Linked DNA regions of Macaca fascicularis. The protein of the gene in region 2 interacts with the protein of the main gene of each other region in a biochemical or structural test. Links are inferred from orthologs where the notes say so. Each region holds a gene or a part of one and is shown on either strand. Other genes may lie near its edges.

The links.
Region 1: the proteins of ELN (region 2) and LOX form a complex in vitro, tested with the Homo sapiens proteins (2 studies listed by BioGRID and IntAct). The link is inferred for Macaca fascicularis from reciprocal best matches to the Homo sapiens genes ELN and LOX.

Annotation. Positions count from the first base shown.
Region 1 is NC_088380.1:128,681,661-128,685,927, forward strand, and holds the start of LOX (protein-lysine 6-oxidase), read right to left. Parts: upstream 2,883-4,267; 5' UTR 2,607-2,882; coding exon 1,976-2,606; intron 1,622-1,975; coding exon 1,513-1,621; intron 153-1,512; coding exon 15-152; intron 1-14. UniProt on the Homo sapiens protein: Responsible for the post-translational oxidative deamination of peptidyl lysine residues in precursors to fibrous collagen and elastin. Regulator of Ras expression. May play a role in tumor suppression. Plays a role in the aortic wall architecture.
Region 2 is NC_088377.1:52,947,909-52,951,716, forward strand, and holds part of ELN (elastin), read left to right. Parts: intron 1-772; coding exon 773-844; intron 845-929; coding exon 930-989; intron 990-1,238; coding exon 1,239-1,322; intron 1,323-3,419; coding exon 3,420-3,458; intron 3,459-3,668; coding exon 3,669-3,722; intron 3,723-3,808. UniProt on the Homo sapiens protein: Major structural protein of tissues such as aorta and nuchal ligament, which must expand rapidly and recover completely.

The DNA.
Region 1 (4,267 bases), on a different chromosome or scaffold from region 2:
GCCCATTTACTTACTGGTGACAACTGTGCCATTCCCAGGAATATCTTGGTCGGCTGGGTAAGAAATCTGATGTCCCTTGGTTTTTCACTCTTTGGGGAAATCTGAGCAGCACCCTGTGATCATAATCTCTGACATCTGCCCTGTATGCCGTACTGTGATTTTGAAAAAAGAAAAATTATTATATTCATAGAATATTAACTAAAGACAAAACTACAAATAAAACCTCCATTATATAGTAGTGACAATCCTCCTTCCCCAGCTAGACTATCAGTTCCAAGAGGCCAGGGCATTTAGTTTATTTGGTTCATTGCTGAAAAGCTCCTAGAACAGTCTTGGAGCAGTCAGAGCTCAATGAATATTTGGTGAATAAGTGAATGAATAACAACTATGGAAATCCACAGATTTTAACAGTAAAAACATAATAAATAAGCATTAAAAATCTAAATGTCAGAAGTAAACTTTATGTCTAGAATCAATTCAAGTTTGATCATATGAACGAGTGAAACTGAAGTGGAAATAATCCCCCAATAAAAAATAATTCACAGATATTACGAACTTCAAATTTAGCAAAACTTTCAAAATAGTTAATAAGTTGCAAACTGAGGAAATAACTCTAGAAGAGCATACCCAGATTTAAATTAATAATTTTGTAACTTCACTACCCCAAAACAATGGCAGTACTGTAAAAACATCATAGGGAGTTCAATGGTGTGAGTGATGCAAGACTCAGGAATGAAAATGAGCTTGGATGTCTTCACTTCCTTTAGCCTGACAATTGTAAAGGGTCAAAGTAGAAGAAATGTACAAATAAACATTACTGTGTTCCTACTAATATATTTAGTGTGGCTATATGTTCAGATGGTATTGATGACCTTATTTTACACTTTACATTTTTGATTAAATTTTTATTAAAACATATTTTGCTCCCTCTGCTGTTTCCTAGCAGTAAACTCAGAGAACCCCAATCTCAGAGTTACTATTTTATTTTAGAATAGTGGAAGAACAAAGCTCTTGCTCATGATCTTATTCTGGCTGAAGTAATACCGAAACAACCAAGTTCATCGTGGTCTCAAACAAAAGAGGAAAACTTAGTCTTTACCAATGAGGCTACGATGGCAAATTTGCCCCCATTCTTTTAAGGGGGTATTAACACACCCTTCATTACAATCAATGTTTTGAATTACTGTATAGTTGTTTTATGAAAAGTGATTGGAAACAATCGACTCCCAAGTTTAAGTATCTTGGAAAAAGAGCATGAGACTTCAGTCTCCAGGATAAGGGTTTGCGCCACCTCTCTGATTCGTGCTGCAGTTTGAGACAGAACCCACAGAAATCTTCAAAATATTAACTCTCCGTCCAGGTCAGCATGCCCAGGAGGTCACGTCCCACTTCCCAGCTCTTGTCCCACTTCCTAACACTTGTCTGCGCGGAACAGTAGCAGTCAGAAGCAGGCACCAGAGCGCCCCCTGAAGGAAGACCGGGGAGCGGGGCCTCAGACATCTCAGCCCGTACCTGGCCAGGCAGTTTTCCTCCGCGGCGCATCTCAGGTTGTACATGGACATCTTCTGCACGTACGTGGACGCCTGGATGTAGTAGGGGTCGGCCACCAGGTCTGGGAGACCTAAACGTCAGCAGGCGACGGGCGCAGCAGTGAAACAACCCGGCGCCCCCCGCTCCAACTCCCTACCCCTCTAGGTCCCTTACTCCTCACCCTTCTCCCACCGGGACTGCAGAGTGGAGCAGGGGGCAGCAAGAGAACTGGGGACTCCCGGGGCTGCAAAGCAATGTGAAAAGGAAGCAGGAGGGGCCAGACGCGCGGTTTGCACTAGATTCCAGGGCTGCCACTGCAGGCGCGTTGGGGGAGGGATTGGATCTGCGAGGACCGGGGCCCGCCGCGCCCAGGCAGCCACGTCGAGAAGCCACATAGCTGGGGACCAGGTGCACGGGTGGTTCCAGCGGACTTGGGGGTACTTACCGTACTGGAAGTAGCCAGTGCCGTATCCGGGCCGGTACCTGCCCCCAGGTCTGGGCCTTTCATAAGTATCGTAGTAGTTGTAATAAGGGTTGTCGTCAGAGTACTTGTAGGGGTTGTACGGGTCGTCGCCCACCATGCCGTCCACGCGGCTGGGCAGCTGCAGGTTACTGAGCTCAGGGACATCTCCCGGCGCGGTCTGGTTCTCCGCGCGCGGGGCGCCAGCTTCGCGGGCTCCAGATGTCGAGTAGCCAGCTTGGAACCAGTGGCGGGCGGTGGGCCTGGGGCGGCCGGCGGTGACTCCAGATGAGCCGGCCGTCCGCGCCCGCGCCGCGGCGGTGCGGTTGTCGCGGATCAGCAGGATCGGAGTGCGGGGCTGCTGGGCGGAGGCGCTGGCGGCACCGGGGACGGCGGCGCCCGGGTCCCGGCGGCGCTGAGGCTGGTACTGTGAGCCCAGGCTCAGCAAGCTGAACACCTGCCCGTTGTTCTCCCATTGGATCTGCTGGCGCCAGGCTCCCGGAGCCGCCGGCGGCTCGCGCGGGGGCTGCTGTTGGCCGGCGGCGGGCGGGGCGCAGCGCACGAGCGCGCAGAGCTGCAAAGGCCCGAGCAGGAACACTGTCCAGGCGAAGCGCATCACTCCTTTTGCCAGATTGACCCCGCTCGAGGAGGACGTGGCTCAGAGAAAATAAAAACAGGGCTCAAATCACGTGAGGGAGGGAGAAATCTTCAACCAAGGAGCCGAGCGGAGCACGGGTATCTCAGTCTCCACCAAGCAATGCCAAGGGTGGGATTCAGACCCTTCCCCAGTCAAGACGGCTGCTCTCGGACGTGGCACCCTTCCCTTTCCCCTTTCTCAGTCCTGGAAGGCAACGGGGAGCGGCGCGGCAGTCCCGGAGAGCGGGCAGTGTCTGGAGTGAAGGAAGGAGGAGTGATTTTAAACTTTCTGGCACGTTTGCAAAGTTACACAAGCCGTTCTGGCCCGGCCGCCCCTCAGCTATTTGTTCACGTAATGCGATTGGAAACGTGCAAGGCGGACAGCTCCTCGCCTCTGCCCCTCCCTTTCTCCCCTCCCTGCCCTCCTCCCCCCAGACACGTTGCACAGGGAGCGTTAAGGGGAAAGAACAAAACGGAACACACATCCTGAGACACACTGGCTTAATCTGGGGCGAACATGCAGGAATTTCAAAAAACTCAGACAGGCGAAGGCAGCCAGGCCATGGGGCGACGCCAAAATATGCACGAAGAAAAATGCTATTAGGTCACCAGCCCTTGAGAGGCGGGAAGTCGGGAGGTTGGGAGGGTGCTGGGGGCGAGAGGGGGGCGGGGGAGGATTGTGACTAAAGTTTATCCATAGAAGAGTTAACCAGACACATTTCCCAACGCACACTCACTTGCTTTTATGGGAAGCGCCCTCAGCAAATAAACCCCAGGATATCAAATTTTGTTTTTCTGTGTGTAGGTAATATGAGAAATGGGTTACAAATTTATTTCCTACAGTGAATATTTTAATAACCAAAAGTGAAATTTTACAGGGAACAAAGCCAGCTAACGCTGCAGCAATGAATAAACCTGTCTCTTTTTCAAAATGCCGGCCTGATTTGTACTTTGAGTGGAAGTGGAGAGCAATCGTTCATCTCCACAGTGTCTATAAGGAAGATTTACTAAAGACTAGAACAAGTCTGCACGAGAAAGCACTCAGAAGGCATCTTCACATATGCATTTTATAAGACATCTTTCTCCTTCATCTTATTTATAAAGAGGTTTGACTTTGGTTTAAAAAAAAATTAAATCATCTCTGTTAAATACTGAAAGTCAGTAAAACATCGCTTGCTGTTTGATTTATCTTCCAATCTAAACAAGGGAGTTGCTGAAGAAACAGCCTTAGAGTTCAGATTTTGGTAAAGAGAAGGAAGTAGGAGTGGTCAGAAGAGAATATAGGTAGGGAGGGGATAAATTATGTTGACTGGAAAGAGATACATAATGGACCAGTTATTCATATACCACTCAGGGTTTGGGCAGTGCTAGAAACCTCGCAACAAAAAAAAAAAATGGTTACTAAATGGTCTGATTTAACACTACTACTCAAAACCAGATTTTGGTTACCATTTTATTGGTCTCATCATTGGGCTGTTGTCCAGACATACTTCAATATTCATATACCTCTGTTAGTCTCTGTCTCTCCGTATTTAATCACTGCATTTTGGTGATGTGGTGGAACTCTGCTGATTTGACTGCCTCACATCCATTTCCCTTTTCTTTCTAGTGAGAACAACTGGATTTTCCTTTGAGGGGCTT
Region 2 (3,808 bases):
TTCCTGCCCCTGAAGCCCTGAGCACACTGCTTAACCTCTGCTCTACCTCAGCATTCTCATCTGCAAAATGGGAATGACAATAGTGCCTACCTTTCCTGCTGCAATGCATAAAAAATGGGCTGCTAAGTGTGAAGCACTCAGAATGTTAAGTGCCTGCTGTAGATACTATTGCCATTGTTTGTTTGTTTGTTTTGACAGTCTTGCTCTGTCGCCCAGGCTGGAGTGCAGTGGTACGATCTCAGCTCACTGCAGCCTCCACCTCCCAGGTTCAAGCGATCCTCCTGCTTCAGTCTTCCAAATAGCTGGGATTACAGGCACGCACCACCACGCCTGGCTAATTTTTGTATTTTTAGTAGAGACCGGGTTTCACCATGTTGGCCAGGCTGGTCTCAAACTCCTGACCTCAGGTGATCCACTAGTCTCAGCCTCCCAAAGTGCTGGGATTACAGGCGTGAGCCACCGCACCCGGCCTACAATGGAACTTTTAAGGCTAGGCACAGCGGCTCACACCTTCGGGAGGCTAAGGCAGGAGGATCGCTTGAGCCCAGGAGTCGGAGGCTGCAATGAACTGATTGTACTACCGCACCCCAACCAGGGTGACAGAGCAAAACCCCATCTCAAAACAAAACAAAACAAGGACTGGACTTCCTGTCCGCTGCTCCTCCCCTGTGTCACATGGCCCCTGCCACCTGTCTGCTTGTGTTGTTGTTCCTGGGGCAGGGAGACCCATTGTTCAGAAATGGGCCACTCATCTTCTTTCCTCTCCACGCAGGAGCAGGAGTGCCTGGGGCCCTTGGAGGGGTCGGGGCTCTCGGTGGAGTAGGCATCCCAGGCGGTGTGGTGGGTGAGTTGAAACCCCAGGAGGGGCTGGCTGGGGAGAGAGGCTAATCAGTACTGAGTCCCTCCCTGAACTCGGTCTGTATTCCCAGGAGCCGGACCCGCCGCCGCAGCTGCTGCAGCCAAAGCTGCTGCCAAAGCCGCCCAGTTTGGTGAGCACTGGGTGGAGGTGGGAGCTGCTGCCAGACCCCCAGGCCCCCAGGGTATGGGAGGAGCCTCTGACCAGGCACTGTAGACTCAGACTTCCAGCCCCAGACACCTCCTGGCTCCACTGTGCCATCGAAGGCCGGGAGAGCTCAGGCTCCACCTGGGTCCCCAGAGGACACCTCCACCCTCCGCAGGCTGAGGCTTCAGTCCCACCTTTCTGACCGGCAGAGTCCAATGCTGAGCTCTCTCCACAGGCCTAGGGGGACCTGCTGGACTCGGAGTCGGAGGACTCGGAGTCGGAGGGCTTGGAGCCGTCCCAGGTGTTGGGGGCCTTGGAGGTAAGAGTTGTTCTGAATCAGTGAGTGCGTGGAGTGTGTGTGTGAGAGACAGAGATGGAGACAGAGACAGAGACTTTCTTTCCCAGCCCTGCCATATCTTTGCTCAAGACGTCCTCTCGGCCAGGTGCGGTGGCTCACACCTACAGTCCCAGCACTCTAGTAGGCCAAGGCGGGCGGATCACCTGAGGTCAGGAGTTTGAGACCAGCCTGTGTGACATGGTGAAACCTCATCTTTACCAAAAATACAAAAGTTAGCCGGGCGTGGTGGTGGGCGCCTGTATTCCCAGCTACTTGGGAGGCTGAGGCCAGAGGATCTCTTGAGCCCAGGAGGCGGAGGCTGCAGTGAGCTGAGATGGTACCACTGCATTCCAGCCTGTACAGCAAAAGTGAGACCCTGTTATAAAAAAAAAAAAAAAAAGAAAAAAGCAAAGAGGCCAGGTATGGTGGCTCATGCCTATAATCCCAGCACTTTGGGAGGCAGAGGTGGGTGGATCACCTGAGGTCAGGAGTTCGAGACCAGCCTGGCCAACATGGGCTCCAGCAACTCCACCAATGTCTCTACTAAAAATATAAAAATGAGCCGGGCATGGTGATGCATGCCTGTAATCCCAGCTACTCAGGAGCCTGAGACAGGAGAATCGCTTGAACCCAGGAGGCGGAGGTTGCAGTGAGCCGAGATCGTGCTGCTGCACTCCAGCCTGGGCAACAGAGCAAGACCTCATCTCAAAACAAAATAAAAACAAAAAATGTGGCAAATGGGAGCTGGGGCTATCCCTGGCTGCCAGGGTCCCAATCCTCTCCCTCTCCTCTCTCTTTCAACCCACATGACCACTGCGGTGGGAGTTGCCCATTCTCCAAGAAAGAAATCAAAGCTTGGAGAGAAATTGCTTTCCCTGGCCAAGAGCGGTGGCTCACACCTATAATCCCAGCACTTTGGGAGGCCAAGGCAGGTGGATCACGAGGTCAGGAGATCGAGACCATCCTGGGTAACTCGGTGAAACCCCGTCTCTACTAAAAATACAAAAAAATTAGCCGGGCACGGTGGCAGGCACCTGTAGTCCCAGCTACTCGGGAGGCTGAGGCAGGAGAATGGTGTAAACCTGGGAGGTGGAGCTTGTGGTGAGCTGAGATCCGGCCACTGCACTCCAGCCTGGGCGACAGAGCGAGACTCCGTCTCAAAAAACAAAAAAGAGAAAGAAATTGCTTTCCCTAAGTCTCCGCCATCGTGGCCGACTTTGCGTGGCCGTTTCCCCCTTTCTTGGGCTGTCATTGTGTCTCCCCCTCTAAACCGGCCTGCACAGCTCTTCCTGTGAGTTCCACAAGCCCACACACACAAGAGGAGCTTAACAATTAAGGACTTTTGGGGCCAGGCATGGTGGCTCATGCCTGTAATCCCAACACTTTGGGAGGCTTAGGTAGGTGGATTGCTTGAGGCCAGGAGTTTGAGACCAGCCTAGACAACATAGCAAGACCCTCCCCACCCCACCCCCAAGTCTACGAAATATTTAAAACTTAGCCGGGCGTGGTGTGTGCCTGTAGTTTCAGCTACTTGGGAGGCTGAGGCAGGAAGATCACTTGAACCTGGGAGTTCAGGGCTGCAGTGAGCTGTGATCGAGCCACTACATTCCAGCCTGGGCAACAGAGCAAGACCCTAGACAGATGAAGGAAAGATGGGGGGATAGCTACTGGGAGGATGAGTCCGTGGGCAGACGGTAAAGGGTGAGTAGGTCAGAAGACAGGGCCCAGCCAGGTGCGGTGGCTCACACCTGTAATCTCAGCATTTTGGGAGGCCAAGGCAGGTGGATCACCTGAGGTCAGGAGTTCAAGACCAGCCTGGCCAACATGGTGAAACCTGTCTCTACTAAAAATACAAAAATTAGCCAGGCACGGTGGTGGGTGCCTGTAATTCCAGCTACTTAGGAAGCAGAGGCAGGAGAATCGCTTGAACCTGGGAGGCTGAGGTTGCAGTGAGCCGAGATCACGCCACTGCACTCCAGCCTGGGCGACAGAGCGAGACTGCCTCAAAAAAAAAAAAAAAAAAGGAGACAGGGCCTGACAGGTGGCATTCCTGAGCTATCATGTGCCTCATCTCCCCAGGTGTGTCTCCAGCTGCAGCCGCCAAAGCAGCTAAATACGGTGAGTTCCCCTCTGAGGCCTTCCTGCCAGTGGCCTGCACCCCCTGCTATGCCCATCACCACCCTCCCCCAGCCCAGCTCAGGCCTCCCTCTGGCTCCCCCTACCCCTGAAGATCTTGTCTGGGACATCCCTTACCCCAGAACCCAGCAGGGATATCAGGGCCTCTTCCAGATGGGGGTGCTTGTCCTGACCCCACCTGCCTCTTCTCAGGTGCTGCTGGCCTTGGAGGTGTCCTAGGGGGTGCCGGGCAGTTCCCACTTGGAGGTAGGGGTGGCCAGCTCTGCTATGTAGTCCTCAGCTCTGTCCAGATCTAGAGAGGGCTGTCTGTCTAGCAGTGGGGACTCCCGGAG